4 linked regions of the Notamacropus eugenii genome follow. The protein of the gene in region 1 interacts with the protein of each later gene in a pairwise test. Links are inferred from orthologs where the notes say so. Each region holds a gene or a part of one and is shown in the gene's direction. Other genes may lie near its edges. The genes, in order: DEUP1, TBC1D22B, TXLNB and ESRRG.

Region 1 (7,214 bases):
ATCTTGCTTTAGATACTTTCCAGCTGTGTAATCCCAAGCATGTCTCAACCTCTCAATCTCAGTTTTCTCATCTGTAAATAAAACAAGGGCTGACGGGGTAGATTTGATGACTTCTAAGGCTTCTTCCAGCTCCAAATTTATGATCCTAAGCAGTCTTCTACTTTGCTGTTGACAGTCTTGCCCCTATACTTACCTTAATTTGTAAAAAATGTGGCTTAAATCACAGGTACGAGTTAGTCAAAAAGCATTTATTGAGTGTTTACTATAAGCCAGACGTGCTAAGGCCTGGAAAAACAAAGAAAGGCAAAAATAGTCTCTTCCCCAAAGGAGGTTACATTCTAATGGTAGAAACAACATACAACTATGTATACACAAGGTACACAGACAGACACACAGATAGATGGTAGATGGAAGGTAATCTCAGAGGAAAGGTATTAACATTAAGGGGGACAGGAAAAGAACTGGTAGGATCTTTGGGCATATTGGAACTAGCTAGTACCAGCTCACAAGAGTAGATTGTTAAATTTTCAGCCTGAGCATTTGCACCCCAGACATTGGCAAACTACAAATCAGGGCTTGATTTGTTATTATGCTGGTTGTCTAGAGTCAGATTTTAAAGTTTCTTGAGAAATCAAACTCTTCCTATTCAGCCATATATTTCTATAAGTTCTTCCCACAGATCTTAAGTCAGACTTCTGGATCTTCATGATAATGAATTTATGTAAGTTCCTAATGCTAAAAGGGACTTGCTCAATATTGCTAGCATATGGACTAGTGCGAATTCATATCGGGTGAATGAATATAAGTGACTTTGGGCTATCCTATGATAATAAGTTAAATTTCTTTTCAAGATCCATTTTCCCTTCTCCAAATCAAGGATGAAATTTAGAAATGATTCAAGAACATGACCAAGTCTTTCAACATCATAGAAGATTTTAAGTGAAGATGGAATGAAGACTCTTCTTTATTCAGTCACAGTGGGAAGAACAAAGGAACACTTACTAGAACTCATTACCTAAGCCACTTATAGAGTACATCTAAGAAATTCATGCTGATGAGAAATGATCAAATTTGTCTTTTATAATTTTAATGGAACTGGATGGATATACAAAAAAGTATTAAATGAACAGTTGTAATAAAATAGCAAATCAGTGTCCATGTTATGAAAGTGAAAAATAAACAAAAGAGCTCAAAATTTACTAGAGGGAAGCAATAAAACTAAGGTGAATTTTCATTTTTCAAAGATATTATATTCATACATATGAATATACATAGCCACACACCTTCACTACTATTTCTGAGTAGGGAATACTCATAAATTTTGTCATAGGTCGTTGGTTACATTTTTGCCTGGCACTTTCTGTTGTAAAACTCAAGGCACGTTGAAGATGAGCCAGTGTGGCTATCCATGTGGGCAGTTAGGGAGCACCTACTGTTTTCCACCGTCCTGTCCCTTCTTTTACACTTTAACTTAAGATCTGGAGCTGGCCAAGGGGATCCCAAAAAGCCCCCTGGTATACAGGACGAGCCCCGCTGGAACGCAGGCAGGGCAGCGGCACCCTCGGAGTGTCCCGGGGCTTCCAGGCGCGCTTGGCCTTGGCATTCCTCCGCGGGTGGGGTCGGGCACGCGTTGCCACAGCAACCTGGGGCGCCTTGGGAAGCCGCGGGAGCCGTGGCGGGCAGAGCCAGTCGGAGCCAGGCCCGTAACCGCCGCGGCAGCCACTGCTGCTATTGCTCCGGCCCGGCCGGAAGGAAAGCTGGGGAAGAGACGGGCCGAGCCTGGCCGAAGAAAGGACAGTCTGGGTCGGGGCCGGAGCCGGAGCCGGGGCTGGGGTCGAGGCCAGGGCCACGGCACGCTACTCAGCGGCTCGCCCGGAGAGGCCGGGATCGTGGCGGGCTACATCGACTTTACCCTACTCCTCCTCCCCTCTTTCGGACGGTCAAGAGCCGGGAGCAGGCAAGGTACTTAAAGGCGCTCCGAGGTCCAGGCCCGCTCCCGGTGATCCTCCCGAGTGTCCCCGCTTCTCCCAACACCCGGGAGCTGTCCCGGCCCGGACAGGGGGATAGGGAGGCTCCCCGGGCCGGACCCCGGGGAAGCGAGTGGCGAAGGATGAGCCAAGTTGGGAACTTTGTGCGGATTAGGGGTTTGAGAGGTGGTGGTAGTGGGGCTTTGGAAACGTTTGATTTGAGATTATCCCAGCCCAACTAACCCTCCTTCTCTCACCTCCTTAGTACTTCTCCATCTTCCTCCTCCTCCTCCTCCTCCTCCTCCTCCTCCTCCTCCTCCTCCTCCTCCTCCTCCTCCTCCTCCTCCTCCTCCTCCTCCTTCCACCTCCTTGAAGTCACCTCCAGTTATCCTGATCTGTATCTGGCCACTGGACCCAGTTGGCTCCGGAGGAGAAAGTGAGGCTGGTGACTTTAAACAACCCTGACTCACTAAAATCCAATTCACTTGCATGTCATGTCATCGCCATCCTGATGTCATGGTCATCCTTCTACCTCCTTAATACTTCTCCATCTTCCTCCTCCTTCCTTCTTTTCTCCCGTTTTCCTCTTCATCCTTCTCCTCCATCCTTTTCTCTGTCTTTCTCCTTCAAACCCCTCCTCCTCCAAACCCTTCCTCCTCCATCTTCTTCATCCCTTCTTTTCTATCCTCCTTGTCTTCTTCCTCACCTAATTTTTTCTCCCTCTCCTACTCCTCCTCCTCCTTTTCCTCCCCTCCCTCCTCCTCTTCTTTATAATACTCTAATTTATAGAATTAGAGTATTTTTGTATTTTTCTCTTTTCTCCATAAGTAGCCTTTAGTGGTATATTCCATTTTATTCTCACAGATTTAAATATACATATATGTCTATGTATATAGATATACATCTATACATAGACACACATATATTTGATGGTTGATGGAACAAACAACTCTGAAATAAATAGGCAGCAAGTATTTTTAAAGTCTGGGACTTACTCTTTGAAAGCTGACTTCTGGAATCAACTCTAGAATGGACTTCAAGAGCTGTAGTTTTCAGTGGCTAGAGTACTTGAATTTGTATCATATCCTTGAGCCCCCTACATATTGGTGTTCCAGAAAAGGAACAGAAAAAAAAGGCAAAGAAGTTTACATGAAGCTGAACATAATCAACCAACAAGTTTTTATTAACCATATAACAATAATAGCACTTATATAGCACTTTAAAGTTTGAAAAGTGCTATACATATGTTATCTTGTGTGGTCTAATATTTCAGGTACTGGGTATATACAAAATCAAGTACAACTTAGAACTTGCTCCCATGTGGCTTATATTTTATGGGGGGCAAGCAATATATTAAATACAAAATAGTTAAATACTTGATAGTTGGGGAGGGCCAGCACTAGCAGTTAGTTGAGGAGGGTAGGCATAGAAGGTGAGGAAATCAGGAAAGACATTTTAGAGAAGACGGTGCTTGATTCTGTGAGGTGTAGGGGTGTGATAGGAAAATGAGAGAGAGAGAGAGAGAGAGAGAGAGAGAGAGAGAGAGAGAGAGAGAGAGAGAGAGAGAGAGGGAGGGAGGGAGGGAGGGAGGGAGAGAGGGAGGGAGGGAGAGAGGGCAACAGAGTCCAGTTTGTATGGACCATAAAGTGTGGTAAAGGCAATACATGTATATCAAAACAGGTTGGAGGCAAGTTGTAGAGGACGTTAAAAGAGTTTGTATTTTAAGGCAATATAGAGCTGCTGCATTTTACTGAGAAGGGAATTGACTTGGTCAAATCTTCACTTAAAGAAAATAACTGTGACAATTCTGTAGAGAATAAATTAGAGGGGGAAAGACTTGAGGCAGAGACACCAATTACAGCAGTATTGCAATAGTGTAGGCAAGTGGTGATGAGGCCTGAACCGCTGAGGTTGTGGCTATGTGAATAGAGAGGGAGTCATGAAAAGATGTTGTAGAGTTAGAAATGACACATTTGGCCATCAGCATGACGGGGGGATGCAGGGAAGGGGTCAGGGAGAATGAGACGAGGATAAAAATGAAGTTACTAATCTGGAAGACTGGAAGTCTCAAAAAAATAGGGAAATTTGATAAAGAGTTTGGACAGAAAATTAATGATTTCTGTTTTATTCATATTGACTTTGAGATGTCTTTGTGACATCTAGCTTGAAATGTCCAATAGGCAGTTAGTGATGTAGGGTTAGATGTGGACTAGACAGGAGAGAGACTGTCAATGTATATATAGCTCTAGATGGATATATAGCTCTAGAAGTCATCAGCATAGAGTGATAATTAAACCCATGGGAACTTATGTGGACATTAAGACAATAAGGAAAATGAGGGGACTCAAGCCTTAGCTTTGGAGAACACTCACAGTTAGGGGTGTGTTTGAGATAATGAGCAAGCAATTAGAAAGGAAAGAGGAGAAAAAAGAAAACAATGTCATGAAAATAGAGTATCTAGGAAGAAAGGTGCAGCACAAAGGTCAAGAAGGACGAGGACTAAGAAAACAGAAAAATTGAAAGACTTGGTAACTTTGGAGCGAACAAATTCAGTTAACTTGATGAGACTGAAGTGAGGCAATGAAGGTAGACAGCTTTTTCTAGAAGTTTGACTGAAAAAGGGGGGATGATATAGAATGATAGCTTGAGGGGGCAGTAGAGTCTAGTGAGAATCTGAGGGAGACTTGGGCATGTTTGAAGGCAGGAAGCAATCAAGTAGCTCTAGGGAGAGATTAGAGACAGTGAGGGAAGGAAAGAGTGAATGAGAGAGAGCAAGAAGGTGAGTGTGATAGAGGTTACAGTCTGCTAGAGAAGATGGAAGGGGGGGATGAAGGTCACACATAGGTAAATCAAGTCACTTAGCAGTTCTGTTTATAGTACATTGAAGAGAAAGAGTGTCACATTTTCTAAGGAAAATTTAAAATGGACAATTTTGCCAAGAGCTAGCATTCCATAATTTTCTAGATTAATAAATACTTTAGATATTCTAGATTATTATTTTTTCCCTTTCTGAACAGGTTAAAAGATCAAGAAACCTAGGTAAAATGGAGTCGCGTCTTGAGATAGAGAACCCAGAGCAGAATCTGATGGGGTAAGTGCTGAGGTTTCCTTTCGTACTTGAGAAAATTCTGCTTAATAGTAATGATAAGAGCTTACATTTAGATAACATTTTAAAGTCTACAAAGCCTTTTCTTTACAATACCTCACTAAGAGAAGTAGTACAAGTTACCCCATTTTATGGATGAGGAAACTGAGGCCCAGAGAGATGAACTAGTTTGCTCATAGACAGTAAGTGGCAGAGCTGGGACTTAAACCAAGCTCTTCTGGCTTTAAGTCCAATGCTTACTTGTTTTGGACTTTATTAAAAGAGAAGCTTGATTGTAGTGTAAAAGAACAGTTGTGTTAAAGTAGGGAGACTTCACTATACTTTTAGCTCCTCCACTAACTAGCAGGATGACTTTGGGGAAGTTATTTGACTTTTTCTGAGCTTCAGTTTTCTCATCTGTAATACAGGGATAATACCAGCACTGCCTAGCTTACGAGGCTGAGATGAAAGTATTTACAAAACACAAAGTGTTATATAAACGGGAACTACTTTTAAAGTAAGGAGACTACAAGGCTTTTTGCTGGCCAAAATATAGCACTAAAACTTGATGTTGGTTTTGTGTATATGCATATGTAAATACATGCACATGTGCTGCTGACATATAATGAATATAATTCTAGAGAATACACATGTAATATTAACGATATATGTATATAAAATTAAGTGAAGAAAACAATATAATTATTCTTCCCTTTCTGATCTCAGTTCCTACATTTTTCTCTCTTTCTCTTTCTCCCTTCTCTCTCTATACACACATAAAAATATATACATATGTACATTATATACATACACACATATATAGTATGTGTGTATACACACATGCATAATGCATACACACATACATATACATGTGCACATATATGTATATATGTGTATATATACATATATAATATACATATGAAGAGAGAAAGAGAGATGGGGAGGGAAGGTAGAAAAATTAAAGCAAGAAGGGTGGAGAACAATTGTATTGCTTTCATCACTTTTTTTTTTTTTTTTTAGCTCAAATCAATTTGCAAAGCAAGCGTAAATAATTCTTCGGAATTTCTTTTTTTAAATTTATTTATTTGTTTTCAATTTTCAACGATCACTTCCATAAGTTTTAAATTTTCTTCCCCTCCCTCCATTCTCTCTCTCCAAGATGGCATACAATCTTATGCTCTACACATACATTCTTATTAAACACATTTTCACATTAGTCATGTTGCATAGAAGAATTAAAATGAATGGGAGAAAGCATGAGTAAAACTAAACAAAACCAAACATAGCAAAAGAGAAAATGGTCTGCTTTATTCTGTGTTCTGATGGATATGGATGGCATTTTGCATCATGAGTCTTTTGGAAATGTTTTAGGTCCTTGATTTTCTGTGGAGGACTAAGTCTATCAAAAACAGTCCTCGCACACTGTGACTGTTACTGTGTAAAATGTTCTCCTGGTTCTGCTCATTTCACTCAGCATCAGTTCATATAAGACTATCCAGGTATTTCTGAAGTCTGCCTGTCTATCATTTCTTATAGCACAATAGTGTTCCATTACATTCATATACCACAACTTGCTCAGACATTCCCCAATTGATGGGCATCCCCTCCATTTCCAGTTCTTGGCCACCACAAAAAGAGCTGCTATGAATATTTTTGTACATGTGGGTCCTTTTCCCATTTTTATGATCTCTTTGGGATACAACCCTAGAAGTCAGATTGCTGGGTCAAAGGGTTGGCACATTTTTGTAGCCTTATGGGCATAGTTCCAAATTGCTCCCCAGAGTGGTTGATTCAGCTCATAGTTCCATCAACAATGAATTAGTGTTCCAACTCTCCCACATCTTCTCCAACATTTATCATCTTCCTGTTTCGTCATGTCAGTCAATCTGACAGGTGTGATGTGGTAGCTCAGAGTTGTTTTGATTTGCATTTCTGTAATCAAGTGATTTAGAGCATTTTTTCATATGACTAGAGATAGCTTTAATTTCTTCCTCTGAAAAATGCCTGTTCATATCCATTGACCATTTGTCAGTTGGGAAATGACTTGTATTCTTGTAAATTTGACTCAGTTCTCCATGTATTTTAGAAATGAGGCCTTTATTACAGACACTAGCTGTAAAAATTCTTTCCCAGTTTTCTGCTTCCCTCCTAATCTTGGTTGC
Region 2 (7,221 bases), on another chromosome or scaffold:
TATCTGATAGTGATGTATACTTGCATTGTCTCCTTAGGGAAGTGTATATGGCTACAGTTGTGGAATGTCAGCTGTAAAGACTTCACTACTCAACGTATTGTTGCCCCAACAAAACTCTCAACATTATCAGGAAAGTAATCAGAAATAAATAGAAATCTTTATCCCATTCCAGCAAGGACCTTCAAATTCTTTTTTCTTCCTTACTGCCTTTGCTGGAAAGAACTGGTTCGCAAATGCAAAGGGATTCCCAGTACCCTCTGAATCCCACTGATAATAAATGGAAGGTGCTAATTGAACAGAAGACACACAACTCAGGTACTGGGGAAGGGAAGAGATAAAAGGAAGAGATTCATTGTGAACTGATTCAAAGTGGACAATGGAAAGAAATGGGAGAATTTAATGGATACCTAAGTGCTTTGAGTTACAGTAGGGGTTCTTAATCTGGGACTTTTTTCTTTTTCAGGATAACCTGCTAACATTTATTTTAAAAAATATAAAATTTTCCCCAAATACATATTAAAACAATTTTTAAATTTTTTTTAGAGTTTTGAGTTTGAAATTCTATCCCTCCCTTCCTCTATCCCTCCCCTCATTCTTCCCTGAGGTGGTAAGCAATCTGATATAGTTTATACATGTGCAATCATGTAAAACATGTCCATATTAGTCATTTTATATAAAAAGATAAATAAAAAAAAGAAGGAAAGAAAGAAGAGAAAAATAGCATGCTTCAGTCTGTATTCAGACAGTATCAGTTTTTTCTTTGGAAGTGGAGAATATGCTTCATCATTAGTGGATTGTCTTGGGCTATTGTATTGCTGAGAAGAGCTAAGTCATTCATAGCTCTTTGTTGTACAATATTATGATTATTGTGTGTAACATTCTCCTGGTTCTGCTCACTTTGTATCAGTGCATGTAAGTCTTTCCAGGTGTTTCTGAAATAATCCTGCTTGTCATTCATTTCTTAAAACATAATTAATATTCCATTATAATCATATGCTACAGCTTATTTAGCCATTCCCCAATTGATGGATATCCTCTCGATTTCAAAAAAAAAAAAAAAGGAGCTGCTATAAATATTTTTGTACAAAGGTTTTCACGTCTTTGGAATATAGACCTACTAGTGCACAGTTTTATAACCCTTTGGGCATAATTCCAAATTGCTTCCCAGAATGGTTGGATCAGTTCACAACTCTATTAGCAATGCATTAGAGTCCCAGTTTTCCCATATCCCCTCAACATTTTCCTCCTTTGTCATGTTAGCCAGTCTGGTAGGTGTGAGATGTTACCTCAGAGTTGTTTATATGTGCATTTCTCTGATTAATAGTGATTTAGAACTACTTTTTAAATTAAAAAAATTATATTTTGATATAATTGGCTGCCTTTGTAATCATATATATATATATATATATATATATATATTTAAATTAATTTTAAAGCATTGTTCTAAGAAGGTTGTTGGTAAGTTTCAGATTGCCAAAGGGGTCCATGACACAAAATAGTGTAAGAGCCCTTAGTGTACCGAGTAGTGCTCTGAGACTCCTGAGACTAAGGTGTTAAAAACAACAGAAGGTATAAGTAGCCTAGAGACATTCTGGCCCCAGAGGAGAGAAATAGTTGCCTGTTATACAGGCAACTAAGGCTCCTCTAATGCAATTACTTTACAGACTGAAGAGCTAAAGATTATGGAAGTAGCAAATATCAACAGCCAGTAAGCAGATTAAAAGAGAGGATGGTGAGACAGCAAGTACTGGAGAACATCAGTGGTAAAAAAGGTGGCAGGAACAGAACACCAAAGTGTGGACACAGATCCAGAGGCATTCCTACTTTCTGGAGCACCATTCAAGGTAGTATTGTAAGTCATAAGGACTGTACAGGTTCCTGGGAGGCAAGGTTGGATGATAGGTAGTGATGAGGTGGGGGGAGGGGGTTTGATTCTTTTGAGTTTGGATGTAATGTCTTTCTATGTTCCCCATATATAGAACTGTTCTGTGTTTTGAAACCCAGTGAACCTGATGGTTGTAAAGATTGCCCTGATGGTTGCCCTTAAGGGAGTATCAGATACTAAAGTTTTCTAGATACTACCTGGTGGAGATAATGAAAGAAATAAATGAGAAGCATACCCAGGCCCATTTCAAGAGGAATTCTCTTTTTGGTCTACTTTGTTGTTATGAATAAGGTTAACTAAGTTCTCTTAGCCCAGAGATTTTTTTATACCCTGCACAAAACCATGGTATATCCATATATGGAATATTGTGTACAGCTCTGATCACAACATTTCATGAGAGACATAATTAGAAAATATCTGTTAACAATGATCAAAGGGATAGATGCAGCAGCTTCTGTTTGAGTATAACAGCTCAGGAATATAAGAGATCTGGTGGGAGTATGCGGGGAAGAGGTAAGAGGACATGATCAAAGTCTATAAAAGCATGAGTTGAGTGATCTCTATCTCAAATCTCAATACTGAGGTCATGGGACAAAAGTATCTTAAAGAAAGGTACAAAAGTTAGTTTGAAAGAAAGTCATGCCTGAGTAGTAAGCATGAGAAACTCATCCCAATAGATAGTACAGTTTGAAAATAGAAATGGAGTCAGGGAGGTTTTTCTAAATACAACGATTTTTGGAGGGTACTTCTCTAACTTTAGTGACTGAATCCATGGAGAGCAATCATGCCCTCCCACAAAATAGTTTTTGGCACTCTGTTTTCAATGAATTCTTGACTGAAATCACTATGCAACTTCTTACACCATTATACAGATGTGCCAACATCTGGGTTGTCATCAAGAGGTAATGACTTTCCCTCTCGTTATTGAAAAAACACTTTTATCTATTTCCAGTACACTTACATAATACTGTCTATTATAGTCAACTGTTCATGGTTTTCGCCTTTCCTAGAGAGGGCTCTTTCCATAATATGATTCAATATCAACATTATCTTTCTGTACACTGATAGTAGGTCATTCAACCTGTGTAATTCTTGTCTATATGGTAGAAGCTTAATGTATGTTGGTTGAATGAATAGGGACCTTCCTCTACCAATAAAGGTCAGTGTCTTTTCTACAGTTTTACAACTTTAGATAACAGCCTGCAGCAGTGACTATAACACTATATAGTCAGTAGTGTCAGAAGTGAGACTTGAACCTAAATCTTTTTGCTTGGGGCCCCAGCTCCCTATCCGCTAAACCAGGTTGCCTCCCCAAAGTAATAGAAAGAACGTGGACTATCTAGTATGTGAACTTCCATGGGACAAAGATTACTTCTTTTATGTGGTACACCTCACCAGTTCTCTAAGTGCTTAATGGGATTCTCATCAACTAACCGCTCTTTTGTTGCAGAAGTGGTAGCCCTGAGTCAAAGGCATTTTCTTTGCTTTGTGGGTAAGGAAGTTGTGGTTCAGAAGGAGAAAGTTTTTCACTGTGTGTATAGAGCAGTGACAATTAGCTGGTGATGAGAGCTAGGACATTGGAATACTAACTTCCTAACTTTTATTTCATTTTTAAAAATATTTTTTATTTATTTTTGAAATTTTCTTTTTAAATTTTGAGTTCCAAATTCTTTCTCTCCCTCCCACCACTCTCCCACCCACTTAGGCAAACAAATGATATCCATTATATTTGTGAAATCATGCAAAATATTTCCATATTAGCCATATAGAAAAAAAAGTAAGAAAATTTCCTTCAGTGTGCACTGAGTTCATCAGTTCTCTCTCTGGAGGTGAATAACATTTTTTCATCACGAGTTTCTAACTTTTAGAAGAAGAGTTCTTTTCCTACTTCTCATCTGGTCCTCCCTTGACCCTCTCTCAGCCAACACCCCCCTCAAAAAAAAAAAAGGAAAGAAAAAGGAAAAGAAAGGGAAAAGGAAGAGAGAGAAAAAAAGAGGAGAGGAGAGAAGAGGACAAGAAAAAGAAAAGAAAAAAGTCAACTCGGAGTCCTAAGAGACCCAACTCAATAAAAAAGTGTCTTCTTTCTCTCACCAAGGTGTAGGTTTCTTTACCTACTCCAGCTCTTCCCGGTGATTGGCGCTTCTAAGTCCCGCCCCTCCATCCTCTAGGACTCCTCCCCCGCTGCCCACCTGTAAGTATGCCCGACCCCTGACGTAACTCTCGACTTCGGCGGCCCACACGACGCACGCTCCTCATTGGCTTGCGTGGCGACGGCCCCCGCCGTCGACCAATGGCAGCGGCGCGGCGTCGTGAGGAGGAGGGGGGGCGCCCACATCCAACATGGCGCCCCCGGGAGGTGGGAGCGGGTGACCGGCGGCTGTGGCAGCGGCGGCGGCGGCAGCAGGAGGGAAGCGGCCTTGCGCGGCCCTCGGGTGGCGGGGTCCTGGGGGCGTCTCTCCGGCTCCCCCCCCTCCCCGGCCCCGCCTACAGCCCGCTCCCCGGGCCCGAGCCATGGCCGGAGACAACAGCAAGCAGTTTTGGAAGAGGAGCGCTAAGCTGCCGGGGAGGTGAGCGAGCTAGCGAGGGAGGGAGTCCTGGACGGCCGGGGCCGGGATCCACCCGAGCCCCAGCCCCGCGTGTGTGCGCTGCTCCTAGCGGGGAGTGGGGGCTGCCGGCGCCTGGGAGGTGCGTACAGGACCCCCCGGGGAGCTGGGGGGGCCGTGCTGAGGATCAGCGTCCTGTCGGCCGGAGGTCCGTCTACACCACAGCCCCGTGGAGCTGCCGCCCCCACTGGGATGCAGAACCTGAGGCACCGAGACGGGCAGCCACTTCCCCGGGGTGGCACAGCCCCGAGGAGCGCCCGGGCTGCGTGGCCGCCGTCGTTGCCGTCTGCGCTGCTGCTGCCAGGCTGCTGCTCTCCGGAGCAGATACTAGGGGAGGGGGCTCCCCGGGCCGGATCGAGAGAGGCCCTCTCCTTCCGAGCCTCGGGGTGCACGGCGGGGAGGGTGCGCGAGCACGGGCCCCTCTCGAGCCCCCCAAATGCAGGCCGTCCCCTTCTGTCCGGCGGCCAACGAGCACTTGTTAATTATCTGCTCGCTAGGTGCCTGCAGGTGCTGCTTCCCCCAGCCCTGCTCGTGGCCCCCCGTGTTGGGGAAGGGGAGCCTGGAGGGGTCCTTGATGCCCCTTGTCTTTGTGGACCCGTAACCTCATACCTGTGGGGAACTCCCTTTGCTCTTAGGACTTCGCAGTCGTAGAGTTTCTTGGGACGCTGAGGTGTTAGGTGACGTTCCCAGGGTCACCCAGCTTGTGTGTGCCTGGGCTTGGGGCAGAGGGTAGAGAAGGGGAAGGCTGTTAGCCAGCCTCATTAGGAGTATTATAAGGGGATGTGGAGAGTGTACGTTTGTCTGGAGGATTTATCTCATTTAATTCTTTCTTTCTTTTTCTTAATATCTTTCTTTCTTTCCTCCATCCCTTCCTCCTTTCTTCCCTTCTCTCCCTTCAACCATCTCTCTCTCTCCCTCTCTCTCTTTCTGTCCCTCTGTCTCTTTCTGTCTCTCTTTGTCTCTCTCTCTCTCTCCCCCCTTCTCTCTCCTCTTTCTCCCTCTACCTCTCTCCTTCTCTCTCCCAATCTCTTTCTCCCTCTCTCCCTCACTCTGTATTCTATCTCCCTCTCTTTTTCTCCCTCTTTCCCTCTCTCTTCTTCTCTTTCTTCCTCTCTCTCCCCCTTCCCTCCCTCTGTCTTTATCTCTCTCAAAGTTTCTAATAGCTAACATCCATAGACACTCTCCTATGATCCTGTCCTTGTGCAAGTATATAGAAGTCTCCCCAAATGCTTCATGTAATTAGCTAACATGACTGCTTTTTTCATGTTTGTTGCATCATAAATATGCCTTGGCATCCGCACATCCATTCCCTTACATGTGGTTTGCAGGATGAAAGAAGGATAGAAAACCTCCTCAGAGATATCTTAAGAAGCTGGTGCTTCTTGAGTGAACAGAAGGCAGTTGCAGACAGGGCCAGCTCTAGTGGTGCCACATAAATTGTCGTTTTCAATGTTTCTGACTCTTTTCTTTCTGTTCGTTGGTTTCCTTTGCTTGTTTCTTCCCCCACCCCCAGAAAAAAATGGGATGGTTGTGACTTCCTAAGAGAAAAAAATGAAAGAAGTGAAGGTTAGGGAAAGTTATATAGTTATTATGTTTTATTCATTACCCTACTAAGACCCACATGAAGGTGGAGAGGGGGATAGAGTAAAAATCAGCTTCAAAATCAACTTAATGTTAATTATATTATTTTGAATTCATATTTGAGAGGTTTTAACAGGCCATTTCCTCCCCAACTGTTCCATTTTCCTTCCTGATTCATTGGGGTCTCCACCTCTATTAAAAGCTGTTCACGGGGTTTTCCATGATGAGATCATTATATATTGTCTGCCCTGGAAGCCTGGGAATATGACATGAGTAACTTTGGGGAATTCTTTGGAGAATCTAAATTGAAAAAGGGGTGTGTGTAGAAGATGGGGGCTACAGCCACTACTTCTGTCTATTTTAGGTATTTCTAATGTTGTCTTATAAAACAATTAAGGGGAAGATGTAATCTTTTGAAACCCTATACTTTAGTGAAGGGTGATAGGAGAGTTTTTTTATTGTGCTCTGTGGCCTTCCTCCAAACCAAACCATTTCATATTCTTTTAAAATTCAGGACAAGTGAACCTTATAACTGGGTCTTTACCCCTGCTGGTTATAGAGGAACTTAGCGTTAATCCTTGATCCATTATGCGTTTGGTGTGTTAGGTAATTGGTGATTTTTGTTAGTACTTTGTTCTTTTTCTTAAACAGATTTAGATCTGGATTTATTTCTGGGCCAGGGACCATATTTTAGAAATAACAAAAGATCTTAAATGATGCTTTGACTTGGACCCAAATTTTTAACAACTTCCTGATCGTAGAACTTTTTCCTCTTTCACACTAAAGAAAAACTTCTGTTGTGTGCAACAGAACTGAGAAAGCTATACATGTGTTGAAGAACTTAGAAGTAAAACTAATTTAGTATTCTTTAAGCTGACATGGAGAAAATAAAGCAATGACTGATTGCTTTTAGTTCCTTTGAAAGCAGATCCAGAAAACTTTGTGCCAAAAAATGGAAGTCTTATTTAATAAAGTATTTCCTCAGATACAGCCACCCCCCAACAAAAATCATTAAAGAATGAAAAATTTTTTTTCTTCTATACCTTCTTGATAAGACCCCTTGGTTTACTAATGTGTCACTGAGACTTAGTTTGATGCTCAGGAAGATGGTACTTTCTTATTTTTATTGAATGAGTTTGATTTCTGAACTGA
Region 3 (7,803 bases), on another chromosome or scaffold:
GTAAGTTCCTTCAGGGCAGGCACAGTCTTGTATTTGTATCCTTAGAACTTAGCATAGGGCTAGTCACAGAGTGAGAACTTAATGAATACTTTCTCATTTATCCATTGTAAGGTATTTTGTCCCATTATTGGATTCTTCCAATTGTTAAATAGTCCTTTGAAATATTACCTCAAAGATCTGTGTAGCCCTTAAAACTCTAGGAGTCCTTACTTGAATTCCCATTTTCACTGATGAATCAGATCTCTAGAGCAAGCCTCATGACTATATTCCCCCACTCTGGGTTCCAGAGATACCCTTGAGGGATTGGAAAATTCTGTCTTTAACAGTATCAGCCTGAGACCCAGTTCTGCTGTGTGCTTCAAGTATCAATCACCAATGATTGGCACCTTATATGCATTTAGCCAACTAATGTCAATTAGTTTTTTCAAAGAGATATGAGAAGACATATGAATAGAGATATAAACCATTCCCCCAAAACTAAGCATACACTCTCCCCGTGCCACCCTAGTCTAGTCCATGGAGATAGTGGTCTCAGACTTAAGGTTTGCCATAAGGAATTCATTCCCCAACCTCATCCCCTAGTTTACTTCAAAATTCAGAATAGTTACTGAATGAATCCTTGTCTCACCTACTGCTAAACTTGATGCTGCTAGATTGAGTCCTCAAGGTTGTTCCTTGGGAACCTTGCTTTTGGTCTAGCACAGACTCAAGCTCTCAGACTTCTGAGGACACATCATTCTGACCTTTTGAAGTTCACAGTGTCAGAGCTGTTTCCATTACTCCTTCACCTACAGTAGTAGAGATCAGTTACAGAAGTCAACCAAACTACAACAACAACAAAAAAGCAAGAGCAAAGTATATTACTGTGGCCCAGTGGGGAAATAAAGGCCTGAGACCTCTCTGTCTCCACCGATAACTTTCAACTGTTTTTGACTCCTCACTGATTCACAGCCAGGCAGGAATGAGGATGAAACCTCACTGTGGTCATCTAATAGAGCCTGTTGAATACTCACTTCCAATTCACAGTCAATCAGAAAGGCTCCTCTTTGCCACAGGGTAAGCAGGCCTGAACCAGTTGCAGAATGTCTGGGCATGCTCCAAATCATTGAGCAAAGCCTTTTTATTACAAGTTGTCATACCTTTCCATAAGCAGACTTGCAGCTTCTCTATGGGAGGATTTTCACCAGTCACCCTTTTCAGTCAGAAAATTAGCTTTCTATCTCTGAAGGAAATTTGTTCCTTAGAGAGCTTCTCAGATAATCCTAAAGGGATTGAGGTCAAGTGATAGTCAACGTCTCAACTTCAGGTGAGAAACCAAATTATTTTGGCTTGTTGCCTACAAACTAGCTAAGGGAGAGGTTGTGGCACTTGGCTCTTTCCCTATTAAACTAAACTTCCCTCCCCCTATTCTGTAGGTCTACACTCATAATGTAGTCTAATTCTTTTGGGCCCCTGCAACAATGCAAGGTACTCCCATTTTTCTCCAGGGATCCCTGAAATTCAAAGAACATTCTACTAGAAATCCAGAAAAAGAAAATCTCCAGGTGTCCCTTCCCACATATGGCACACCAAGGTCTTCTGAGTTACATTCCTCACTATGACAGTCAAGTCAACTTCAAAAGAAAACAAACACAGAAAAGCCCCCCAAGAGGTGTGGTGCTCCCCCCAAAAATGATTAAGTATTTAGGGTTGATTACTCAGAGTTTCTAGGCCATCAAGCAAACTTTATTTGGAAGTAAACTTTATCTGTTTAAAAGCATCAGAAAAATAAGAACATTTATCAGTTGGGCTGATACACTTGCAAGATTATAACATCACAAAGGCGATCACATTTTAACAATCTCCTACCCTTATCTGGATTGCTAATTAATTTAACAATAGCAATAACAAAGATTGGGAAAGTAATTTCAGACTTTCAGAAATATGTTCTATGGAAATCCATGAACTGCATCTATACTAGTATACTTCACTTTTCCTTAAACTCAGTAAAGATGGCCAGTTGTCACCAAAGGAGAAAGAGAAAAGAGAAAGGGAAAGCCTTAGGAAGAGTAGTTAGTGTGAAATAGTGGAAAAATGATTGAATTTGGAGTCAGACTACATGGGTTCAAATCCCCTCTCATTTACTACCTGAGTGACTTTGGGCAAGTCCCCCCATCCTCTGGAAAGTGGTAGGTTGGTTGGATGGTATCAAAAGTCATTTTTTTTACCAGAGTCCTATGATCTTATTTTAGGCTCTTTCTACTGTAACAGTGTGTTCACATATTTTCCATGAGAAACTTATATGTGCAATATCCAGTGTTAAATGTGATGAAAACTAAATGAGGGTATCCATTCAGCAATCATGTATTAAGCACCTACTATGTGCTAGATACTGTACTAGTTGTTGAGGATAAAAAGACAAAAAATATCTCTTTAAGGAACTTGAGTTCCACTAGGGGAAAGCAGTGTGAATGCCAATAAGTATATAGAAAAAATACAGATTAAATGCAAAATAATGCTGGTGAGGGGAGAACACTAATAACTAGGGAGATTAAGAAAGCCCTACTATACTAGGTAGTATTCAATCTCTGCTTTGAAGGAAGCTAGGGATTCTGGAGGCAACTAGATAGTGCAGAGGATGGAGTGCTGGTCTTTGAGTCAGAAAGACCTGAGTTCAAATACACACTCAGACATTAAGCAGTTGGGTGAGCCTGGGTCCTGTTTATCTCAGTTTCCTCACCTGTAAAAATGAGCTGAAGAAGGAAGTGGCAAACCACTCCAGCATCATGGTCAAGAAAACCCCAAATGGGGTCATAGAGAGTCATAAATGACTGAAGTGACTGAACACCAGCTAAGGGATTCTACGAAATAAAGGTGAGAAGGGAACCCATTTCGGGCATGGGGAGAGTTTTGCAAAGACACAGAAATGGGAGATAAGACTGTCATGTATGGCATTGGTTTGGTTGGATGTACAGTACATGAGGAGAAGTGATAAGAAACAGTCACAAAAGACAGGTTGAAATCAGACTGAGAAAGAACTTTAACTGCCAAAGAAAGGGATTTGTATTTTATCCTAGAGACATACGGAGTCACCAAAGTTCCTTGAGCAAGGAAATGACATGGTTGGATGTACATGTTAGGAATATCAATTATGCAATGGTGTGGAGAATGGCTTAGAGAGATATGCAATCCAAGACTAGCTACTAGCAATTATTGAACATTTTAACGTTAGAGATCATTTAAGTAAATGCATGCACATTTTTGCAGATGATATAATTCGGAGAAATAACAATTACTCAGGATTGTATAGCACTTCAAGATTGTATAGCATTTTCCTCATAACAACTCAGTTAGGTTAAGTATTATTGACCTCATTTTACATTGGAGGAAACTGAGACTCCTAAAAGCTGTCTAAAGTCAGAACAAGTTCTAGGTTAGAGCTGGAGCATAAATCCAGGTCTTCCAATTCCAAAAAAATCTAGCAGTTTTTTTCCCATACATTGTTCCTTTCCACAGGCTATATTAATTATTCAGTATGTAAGCAATCCCTAAAAGTCTCACAATAGAAAATCTATTCCAAGTCTAATAAAAATGTTTCCATGCTTAGGACACTACATTCCTATGTCATTCAGCACTGTACTGTAACAATGATCCATTAGAAATTGGCATCTTTTTTTATATGCTATTGCAGAATTGTGAAGGAAAGCTGCAAAGATGGAATTCTGTGACTCCTTACCATACTGTCATAATATTAGCAATACCTTCAATCAGCACTACTATAGGAATTTTCTCTCAGGGCATATAGAGTACCAATAATAAGGAAAAGAGGTTACCAGGGGTGGAGAACCTGTGACCTCAGGGCCACATGAGGCCTTCTAAATCCTTAAGTGGGGCCCTTTGACTGAATACAAACTTCACAGAACAAATTCCCTTAATAAATAAATTTGTTCTGTAAAACTTGAATTCAGTCAAAAGGCTGCACTGGAGGACCTAGAAGGCTACCTGTGGCCTCAAGGCCATAGGTTCCCTACCCCCAGGTTAGCCCATCATGAAGGGCACATAATAGATAAAATTACAAACCAGGACAAGAAACTTTGGTATTTCATGGTGGGTTTTTTTTTGTTTGTTTGCTTTGTTTTGGTTGTTTCAAGACGTACAAGTAAATATCATCCCATCATAAAGAAAGTGTTTCATTTCTTACATTGTTAAAGTCATATATCTCTCCCTCTCCTCCTCACCCATTTTCTCCATAAGCAATCTGATACCACATACCCAGGAACAAAACACTAATTAATTAAACTAGCATGAGAGGGACAAGGAAGAGAAATTACAAACCATACCGGAGAAATGCTGAATGCCAGAATGAGAAACCCTCCAAGGTGAAAAAATTAACTGACCCAAAATAAAGGTACTCTAGCTGTCAGTATTTCTAGCCTTCAATGCAGTGGGGGAAAGGGCCTCTCCAGTTGTCTCCATTTTTCTTAGAAAAAAATAACAAAGTGGAAGAAACTGTTAAGTGCTAGAAGTTGCCAATTATCTCTGAACACCCCCCACCCCAGGTATCACATTTAAATTTTGCATATTACTTATCCCTCGCTATATATATCATCCAAGCTTCAGTGCCTTGGTCCACCCCCACCCCCCTTTCTCATCTCTCACTCTGTGTGTATGTGTGTTTCCACCTCTCTCTCTCTCTCTCTCTCTCTCTCTCTCTCTCTCTCTCTCTCTCTCTCTCTCTCTCTCACTCTCTCTCAGGAACAGGGGTGAGTGTCTGGCTCTGGTTCCTGCTGTGCCCTGCTGCTGGTTCGCTTGGGGTTTTTAAATTTTGTTTTGTTTTTTAACTACCTCCTTCCTCTGGCTCTCTCTTCCTCTCTTTGCTTTGTTCCTCGCCTACTGGTAAGTTCAACAAACACTTTTTGAAGTAACCTTAAAAGTTGTGAGGTTGGGGTTGTGGGTGGAGGGGAGGTGTGCATCGCCCAAACAGCTCAACTTGGAGATTGACAGTGAACTGCTGAAGCCTTTCCATGGTTTTATTTGTGCATAATAATAATGCTCCTCAGTAAGGTATGGGGGTCCTTTAATCTTCTGCCAAAATTGGTAGTAAAAAATTTTCAGTCTTAAGAATGAAAAAAAGTCAAGATAATAAAGTTTATACAAGAGAAAGTTTTGTAATACTCCCTATTTTGACCACCAGCAATTAATTAGAAGATCAGTATTTGCTCAGAAAAGGACAATTAAAAAGAAACACAGAAATTTTCCTAAACTAGCCTTCTTTCTGATATCGTCAGGCTACTTTTTAGGAAATGAGGATCCCTGAGTGCTCAGTGACTCGTTATTCCTATTTAAAAGCAAATATAATGTGAAAATCCAGAGGGCTTACAATAGATTTACTATATGGAATTAGAGTAATCTTTACACCTGAAAAATACAAGGCAAATTCATATACAAGTTCCACTGGCCGAAACCCAGATCCTGTGTTCACAGGCTACTATTTATATTTATTATTTACAGAATCTGAGTAAATTTGGGTCTGATTTCAACCAAAGAGGACCTCTTTAAGTATACAGATATGTATATGAGTATGTTACCTAATCATTTTTAATGTATTTATTTCAACTTGTTAATTCTTCCCATTGGGGATTTAATTTTTTAAAATAATGTTCTCCTTCTAAGGTTTTCAAAGATGAAGTGTTAACTAAATACCAAACCTCCTTTTAGAAGAGCTTAAAATAACTTCTGGCTGGACAGAGGGTGCCATGTGTCTTTCTGCTGGGGAGAGGCAGAAGCTATATATAGACAGATGTGTGTACCCTACAGGGATCAAATTAAAATGCCTGTGATTAAGAAAAAGAAGAAGTGCTTTATAAAATTGATTGAGAGAAGCCTGGCTAGACAAAAATGCTGTAAAAAAAGGAGAATTTACTTTTTTGTCAGTATTGAGCTGATGCTGGCAGGTTGCATTGTTAAACTGCCTTGGAGGGAAGAAAAGAGAGGGACCTGTCTAAACTGAAGAACTTTTCTGTTTCTTGTTAAGATCTTGGCATTGAATACACTGGTGAGAGAAAGGGTAACAGATCCTGCATCTATTTCATACAGCACCTATACTTACATTATTCCACTCAACATAATATCATTACAAAACACTAAGAGACTAAAATGGGGTCTCTTTTTTTAAGAGAGTAACCAATTTTATTGTTAAAAATAAATGGATCAGTAGGTATTAATAGAACTGATGTCAACAGGAGCCTAAATGCTGGCTTAGGTTAAAGTTACTACAATTTAATGAAGTATATGTAGCAGGTGCCAACGCAAGTTAATCTGCAGTACTTGATAGGACACAGGACAAGACAATCATAGACTCCAAGTTTTACCAGGACTGATCTTTGCCCAATGATTAATAATAAGAGCCAATATTTATATAAAACTTTATGAATTATAAGGTTCTTTTACATCATTTGATCCCCATAGCAACTTTATAAGATCAGTACTTATTAATAATTATCATTATTATTATAAAAATTATTCTATGTTATTATTAATCCCTTTTTGCAGGTTCAGAAATGAGACTAGAGAAGTTAAATGACTTTCCTATGGTCACACAGTAGATATCAAAGGCAGAAAGCCAAGACTTAGGTCTTCTGTCAGGAATAGAACTTGAGTCACTTCTGACTGCACATTCAGAGTTTTTTTTCCTTTAAACCACTGTGCTCTCAGGTTTCTAGCTTTTGGATAGAATGTAAAACAACAAATATCTTTGCTTCCAAAATCTACTTAAATTGAGAATTCCAACTTGTTTCCAAACGAGCATTGTGGGTAATTCTCCCTGTTATTTATAGTAAAGTAAGTTCTTTAAAACAATATTTAACGCACCTATTAGTGTCATAGAATCAATGATCTTACCTGTTATTCACTCAGATGCAACCACAGTAACATCAGTGTGGATGTTCTTTCCAATGATGCAATTGACAAATCATCTATGCCTGCCCATCTTATGCTTGACCATGTTCTCCCTGCAGCTTGCTATTGAGGGAGTGCTGCCATTGTGCTAAAAAAACAAAACAAACAACTTTACTTTCTCCTCATGTCATAAAAATACCAGTGAAGCACATGAGGTGACAGCTATCTCTCAATCTTTCCACATGACTAGCACATCTCTTCTTTCTATCATGTATTTTTGTCATCTTTTACTCGTTTTTCTTTGTAGCTCTTTATGTCCTGAGTGTTACAACCTGACACACACATATATGCATTCATATATATACATACACATACATATAAACCCATGTGTCTCTCCATTGTTTTTTGAATGATATTAATTTTTAATTGTTCATAGATTATAGCATTCTATGCCTTGCCACCATGTGACCAGGACAGAATATTGATATTGAAAAAACAGTACTAATTTTCTAGAAAAAGTTTTAGCGTACTTAATGGAGAATCACAATTTCATATATATATATATTTACACACATGAAGACAGATAGAGACACTAGTGGATGAGGTCTATAATTTATCCATCTGTGTCATGCTCAAAAATGCAAATGGATGAGTGGTCCCATCCATTTGAAAGTTCCCTCCAGTAATGCATATCTTGATTCAACCATGCCTTCCCAACCCATGTGTAAGGCTTACCTATATTCTCCCAAAAGTTCACCACAGGGGATCCATCCAATGTTCTGCAGGCTTTTCTCACTTCCAGCATTTTAAGGTATCCATGGAATGCTTTGGCTGTCCACTTGTCGTATCTCAGTCTTGACAAGTGAGCAACCCATCTTCTTTTCCTATCGTACAATTCCTTTATACCTTCCTTCACTCCTGTTCTGT
Region 4 (6,952 bases), on another chromosome or scaffold:
ATAACCAACTCATTTATTAATCTACAATTTCAAAATGTTAACTCTTGCTCTGTAAATACAACCCATAGTGATCCTTGAAATCTTGCAGCAACTAAAAAAAGTGCATTTGCTGTTTTAATAGAGTAAATGTCTGAGATTTTCAAAATTTCTATTGGGAATACACTAGAACTAAAGTAAGTTTTCCCTTTGGTATCACACTAGCTTATGATTTAATTTTTACTGACATTCCAGCAGTCATATTATTAGCTTCACAAAATGAAAGTGAAAATAATCCTGTATTAATTAAACAGAGTAATGGAATTCCTTCCTTTAGTTTATCTGAGCTATTTTAGACAGTAACAGACTTTTGCTCTCCTCCCCCCCTTCCCCCTTTGAACAAGCTTCCATAGGAAAGGGGTTTGATGGGTTATAATGGAAGTGTGGCAGCTAGATGTGGAGATTTGCTATATGCATCCAGCTATTTAATACACCTCAGCTAATTGTATTCCCCAATTTGGGTCCAGGATGGAGGGACAGGATAACTTTTGAATATGTTTGTATACTTCTAGGAATTTTAAAAAATTATTGATTCTTATCAATTTAGCCAGTCCTTTGTGCCTTGCAAATGAAAGACATGTTTTAAGGAGCTGATGAATTGTGGAGGTTTTGGTAGTAAATGCGTATACTGCCATCATTCTGACTTCTGAAGGAAGGCATTCTGCTTTGTTTTCAGGAGGCAAGTTAATGTTCTACAAAAGGTTAAATGTACGTATATTTTAGAGTTTGGGTTTGAGAAGAAAAAAATGAGCTAATGCTCATCTTAATTCTTTTTATAATAAGTACTAGCTTTGAGCAGTGATAGATAAAAGATAAGTCAGAGAAATGCATAGTGTACTTTTCTAAACGTTACAGAATTGGGGGAACATCTGCCCAGCTGGTTTAAGCAGCATTCTCAAAGTCAACAGCTATTGAACCTTTTATAATTTTAAAGGTACATTTAGCTTTTCATGAAAAAAAGCAACAAATGAAAAATAGGAAATAAAAACTCAAGTGTGACTCAAAAGTAGCATGACAGTCATGGAGATATTAGTATTAATCATTCAGTTGTAAAACATATATTTGAAATGTGCTTATTTTTATGATTTTTCCCAGTTACTTTTTAGAGTATTGAGAAGGGAACTAGCTGCAAACAGTAATTTATTTGATCTTTTCATAGTGCAGCGCAAAATGCAAGAAGAGTAAGCATTTTTTGGCCAATTTTAATGAAAACATAAGAAATCATTGCTAAAATTGGCCAGGTTGTAGGAATTCGGATATGATTCCAGTTGGAAAGCCCAAAGACTCAAAAATACAACTCTGATGTGTAAATAAAGAAAACTTCTGCTTTGTATTTATATGGAAAGAAACTTTTTTTTACTTGCCTATGCTGGGGGAGGTGTGGTTCTTTAAAATGTTAAAAGTGAAGGAAGCATCTTTACCTTGTGGCCTGTGGGTTAGCTGTGGTTTAAGAATAAGATTGTTTAGAAATTCAGGAGTTACTGGGTTGTTTAAAGATGAAGATGTTGAAAGATTTACATAGGGATAATTATATGCACAGTCTGATGGTCTGATATAGACTTAGCTCATTAATGTTCTTTGGGAGACTGTCAAGAAAGCTTCTTTTATTTGAATCCATTCTTCCTGCTTTGGTAGGTTTTATAATGTGTAGATTTGATTGCCCGAATGTTGACACGTCTATCATGGTTTTTTGCTAGATTAATTAAAATAGAAATCTATTGTTCGCTATACAATCATCCCAGTCTTTATAACAGACCCATTTCTTCACATTCTCCATCTTTTCTACCCCCCCACCATGGGGAAGTCTCTATGAAGAGGAAAGGTTCTTGGGATGACTTAACTGTATTTCTTTATAAAATGTCCTGGAACCTGTCCCAGAAGTTTAGTGCAATAGATTTTATTTTAAAATTTAAATTGGTTAAACTGAATTCAAGACAGTAGGAGTAATCTTAGGTCCTTGACTGGTAGAGGTGACACTTTGGCCCCAGGGGAGGAAAACACTACTGTATGAAGTCCAATACAATACTTCTGGTCATTCAAGGAGCAGGGATTGCAGTGAAGGGAGCTCCTTGCCTGGATCAAAGATGGTTGGTGGAAAAGTCGTGATGGCATAATAGGGTAAAAATGTGTGTTTCGAATGTGTTTGTATATGTGTGCATGTAACATGGAAGAATTCATACCTGAATATGAAAAGTGTGCTTAAGGAAATATACCACACAAAAATCCAAATAGGCAGTTCTGCAGACAAGTAAGTATTCAGAGTATAAAGGTAAATTTTAAAATACTGAAAACATGAGATAACTTAGGTTTCTTTAGGCAATAATAATAAATTTGGCTAGAGAGTCTATTCTTTACAATAGCTCTTTCAAAGGAGTAATAAATGCGGAACTGTCAGCATGATAATGTAAAAGAGTATGAATACAGCAAGGAGACAGACATAGATAGATGCCTTTTAACATAGTATTTGAGACTACTTGAGATCATAGCTTTTTGTCAGAAGGATTCCTGAATGTTGAAATTTTCTGTTTGCATGGAGAAAATATTTGTGATTGAATCAGTAAATGGTAATTTTAGGTTATTCAGAAATCAAAATTTGCATGATATACCATGTGTTTATGTTTCTAATGCTGAAGTTCTTATATTTTTAGGAATTTTTTTTTAATCAAAATGCCTTTGAAAGGGTTTTTGCTTTTTTAAAAAAACTGTAAAAATGATTCAGTAGCTTGATTTAGATTTGATAAAGGCAATTCTTTTTTTGTCTTTCTGCTGTCTGCAGAGTGCTTGGATTTTCTTCTACATCTCAGAGCTCTTTTAATTCACTGCTCACAACCAAATTTACATCTTAATTGCAGAGTTCACATTTAACAATATAGACAGCATAATGCTACTGGTAATTAAGCTTTTACTACCTGCTTTTATACAGTAGTCACAGACATAGTTTTGCTATGTTAGTTCCGATATAGAAACTTGCATGCATTTAGACCCCAAATATAAGTAACCAGGCCTACACTTTAAGTCTGGTTAAATACATGGCAAAAGGAAATTGTCTTCCCCTTTGGAAGGACAAAAACCATGTCTCTCACTTTTTCTATTCTGGACTTCAACTTGGCCGTTCTATTTTAATACAGAAAAACCAGGAGATTTTATGAGAGGGTGCGTTGAGTTCTGATTTAGTGTATTAACACATTCTGTGTGTGTGTACTGATTGGTTTTGATATCAAAGATTGTTATTTTCATCATGTAGGGCTCCAGGCTCTAAAGATTTTGTGAGCTTCTCATATGAATTATAAAATCGTGTAACATTCTCAATGAGGTTGCAGTTTTCTTTTTGCCCTATAAATGTCTGAAATCTATTCCAGTGTACATTTGAGTTCATTAAAATAAAAATATGTAGGTTATCAGAAAAATAACTATTATTTCTTCGTCCTAGTGTTACATATTTTAAAAGTAGTTAAAAAAAACAATTATTTATTCTTCTAGTTTTCTTAATCTACTTTTATGATCTTATATTTCAAACTGGTTCATTCATTAACTTGTCCTAATGAGAGGCCAGGTGTCTGAGTCACAAAAGATGATATTTTGCCCCGTCTAGGTTCCTACTTAATTTTGAAATGTGCCATGTATGCAAATATATATGCACACGCACATGACATGAAATATGCACTGGTGTCAAAATAATATCTGTACTTCTGTTTCCCACTCAGGTGGGAAGCATTTTTTAGGGGAAGAGAAAGTATAAAATTAAGAACATTTATATTTCAAATTTTAACAATGTCAGCTTTACACAATGCAGTCCTTATCTACTTAAATTCAATTTGTTTAGATTTAATGTACTATAATCACTTCTCTGCTCTACCCTCAGCAAGTGGAAAAATGATTGATTTCATAGTTGCTTATTTTCATTTTGTGAAAGTGTTCATTGAGCATGTTTAGTAAGAGAAAAGGAAGTGATAGGTTTATAAATTAGATGCATATAAAATTTAGTAATGAATTCTTTTGTTTTAGTTGTGTAGACTACCCTATTTATGCAATCATCGCTACCTAAAAATAAACAATTATAATGAAAAAAGTAATTAAGCATCTTAGAAAAATATTGAATTTTAAATGTCCACTACAAATTAAAAAATAAAAATAAAGAGCTATAAGAAGTGGATGAGAAAGTAGACTGAGCAATGAGGCAAAAATGTAATGGAACATAGACAATGGCATCAGAAACTTATTTCTCTACCTTATGTAGAATTCGTCCCCAAATTAACTGGGAGTCTGGCATGTTTTCTTCTTTTCAAGGTAACAGGCAAAATGTACTTTAGGTTTAAAAAAAAAACCTTCCAGTACCTAAGGAGTTAAGTTAATTATGTTCCTTTGTAGCCTCTCAGAAAATATTTGTAGCATTTAAATCTCTCTTCCCTCCACCCCTCCCTTATCGGCCCACTGTTTTCAGTCCCCTTTCTCTATCTCCACCCTCTCTACCTGCCTGGTTCTCCTCAATCTGTGCTGCCTGGGTTCTCCTCTCCTCTGATTGGCGGAAGCTCTTCCAATCTAGAGCTCGCCTGGGCCAGTGGGACTGCATATGTAAAGCCCTACTTCATATTAATAAGCTCCAATCGGGGCTTTAAGTCCTTGATTAGGAGAGTGTGAGAGCTTTTGGTCCCAACTGGCTGTGCCTATAGGCTTGTCACCAGGAGAACATTTGTGTTAATTGCACGGGGCTCTGTCAAGGAAACTTTGATTTATAGCTGGGGTGCACAAATAATGGTTGCCGGTCGCACATGGATTCGGTAGAACTTTGCATTCCTGAATCTTTTTCCCTGCACTACGAAGAAGAGTAGGTACCCTTTTTTTTTTCTTTTTAAATTGAAAAGATCCAAATATATATATATTCGCACCCTGATTCAGGTAACGATCTGTGTATTTTGTGTGCATGAGTGGCTGTTTGTGTCTGTGTTGTGCCTTTTGTGCTGAGGGGTGATCTCCTAATTCAGTAAGTCGAGAATTGTTCTCTGACTACAATGTTACCTTTGAGGCGAGGCTCGGTAACTGTCAGTAAAACAGCTGTGTGACAGTCACTTCTTATTCAGGTGCTAAGAATAGGTACTTGGCACCAATGCTTACTGAACTGTTAAAATGCATCTTTTACTAGGACCCATTTTCCCAAGGAAAAAAATGTTTTAAAATACAATATTCAAAAATGATTTATACTATTGAGTGCCTCTTATGTATTTGCAGTTTGACAGATATTTCCATCTCCCTGTCATTTCTTACCTCACAGAGTTAGAGGGAAAATTGCACATTTGCTAATTCTCCTTCAGAGAACAATTTTAAAACTAGCCTCCTGCAATTCAGGTCGAGAATAATGTTATTTGCATGGTTAGCGTTAAGTCAGCACTTAGCTGACAAATCAATCCATTAACTAACTGGGGATTTTCACACATTCTGAATATTAACACCACCACCACCACCACCACCAAAAAAAAAACAAACCCAAAACTAAAGAAAGACAGTCTGACTTTTAATATTTTACACTCAAATGAGTTGTACAGACAGAGTAGAGTTATTTCACTTATTATCTCCACAAGATACAGCAAAGTACTTTGCTCCTTACACTCAGTTTAATTTGTATTTATGCATATCTTTGTGTACCAGCCAGTTCACGCTGAGATTACCAAAGGGGGAGAGTAAATGTGTGTGTGTGGGGGGTGTTGAACGAGGAAGTAAATTAGGTATTCTGGTGTAGATGAGCAGATCATAAACTTAATTTCATCCTACAGCCAGGATAAAATATTAGTGTATCGTGTGAGCTGTCACTGGTTCATCTTTCTGTTGAGTCAGTTATATTGCTTTCCTTTCACATTACAATAATACAGAATGTTATAATTTTGAAAAGGGTGCACTTAGTAAAACACTATGTCTGTGGCTTGTGAGGGGGAAATATAAGGATATGTTGAAGAGACAGTGTATTATAGGTTGATGTCCACTAGCTGTCCTTAGTGACTGCATATTGCAATGCTCTTTGTAATTAAGCCAGAGATGAAAAGTGACTTGCAGTTGCAATCCTATATGTTGGTGATTTTAGACAGAAGTGTGTGTGTGTGTGTGTGTGTGTGTGTGTGTGTGTGTGTGTGTGTGTGTGTGTATGTGTCTGAAAGAGAGAGAGAGTGAGTGTGTGAGACCATCCGTGTGGGTGCTCGCTTATGCATGTTGTGTATACCCTGGAAAATACCCTGGGAGAGTTGGGCTTAATCAGGGACAGAGAAATTATGGAGAGGGGGCAAGTTGTTCAGTTTGAAAAATCAAATAAGAAGACAGTCTTAAAATATTGGGGTTCAAATATCACAAAATAAACAAAGGTAACATGTGCAGTAAGATGTGATTTGTATCTTAGTACACTTGGAGTGGCTGAATATGATAGTGTAAGATGTCTTCATATTGGCCCAAAAGAGAGGAAAAAAGAGATTAGCAGAGAAAGCTCACTCAGATTCTGAACTTTCTTTCAAAAATAAATAAGCAAAAGAAAAGAAACTTTAATAGGGCCTTAAAAAGGAGTCTTTTTTATGTAGTTTTCTTGAATTTATCTTCTTAAAGCTAATTTGAATAATTAGTTTAGATAAGCCTCTTAAAGTGGATGCAGTTAAATGAAATCAGGGCACATGTCCTTTTGGCTGTGGTGCAAGATTCAAAGTAGCTCAGGCTTTCTTTTTTGGCTCAATTAAAAGTCATCTTAAAAAAAATTCAGATTTATTATCTGGATGCAGTTCTGATGGTTATGTGGTTCACTGGACAGACAGAAAGATCTAATGCTAAGCAACACATCTGCCTCTCTGTCTCAATTAATAAACCACAGAATTTATACATGCTATTAATATTCATAGTAATTGTACTTGGGCTGTACTTCCATCACGTGTATATACACAGAAAT

The links.
Region 2: the proteins of DEUP1 (region 1) and TBC1D22B interact in binary tests that used the Homo sapiens proteins (3 or more experiments, as listed by UniProt). The link is inferred for Notamacropus eugenii from reciprocal best matches to the Homo sapiens genes DEUP1 and TBC1D22B.
Region 3: the proteins of DEUP1 (region 1) and TXLNB interact in binary tests that used the Homo sapiens proteins (3 or more experiments, as listed by UniProt). The two-hybrid records come from large-scale screens. The link is inferred for Notamacropus eugenii from reciprocal best matches to the Homo sapiens genes DEUP1 and TXLNB.
Region 4: the proteins of DEUP1 (region 1) and ESRRG interact in binary tests that used the Homo sapiens proteins (3 or more experiments, as listed by UniProt). The two-hybrid records come from large-scale screens. The link is inferred for Notamacropus eugenii from reciprocal best matches to the Homo sapiens genes DEUP1 and ESRRG.

What each region holds. Positions count from the first base shown.
Region 1 is NC_092876.1:165,501,977-165,509,190, reverse strand, and holds the start of DEUP1 (deuterosome assembly protein 1), read left to right. Parts: upstream 1-4,191; 5' UTR 4,192-4,547; coding exon of another isoform or gene 4,548-4,553; 5' UTR 4,554-4,728; coding exon 4,729-4,746; intron 4,747-4,984; coding exon 4,985-5,058; intron 5,059-7,214. UniProt on the Homo sapiens protein: Key structural component of the deuterosome, a structure that promotes de novo centriole amplification in multiciliated cells.
Region 2 is NC_092873.1:94,915,558-94,922,778, forward strand, and holds the start of TBC1D22B (TBC1 domain family member 22B), read left to right. Parts: upstream 1-4,221; 5' UTR 4,222-4,396; coding exon 4,397-4,452; intron 4,453-7,221. UniProt on the Homo sapiens protein: May act as a GTPase-activating protein for Rab family protein(s).
Region 3 is NC_092873.1:225,871,762-225,879,564, reverse strand, and holds the start of TXLNB (beta-taxilin), read left to right. Parts: upstream 1-4,785; 5' UTR 4,786-4,875; intron 4,876-7,803. UniProt on the Homo sapiens protein: Promotes motor nerve regeneration. May be involved in intracellular vesicle traffic.
Region 4 is NC_092873.1:420,779,238-420,786,189, forward strand, and holds the start of ESRRG (estrogen-related receptor gamma), read left to right. Parts: upstream 1-3,932; 5' UTR 3,933-4,805; coding exon 4,806-4,861; intron 4,862-6,952. UniProt on the Homo sapiens protein: Orphan receptor that acts as a transcription activator in the absence of bound ligand. Binds specifically to an estrogen response element and activates reporter genes controlled by estrogen response elements.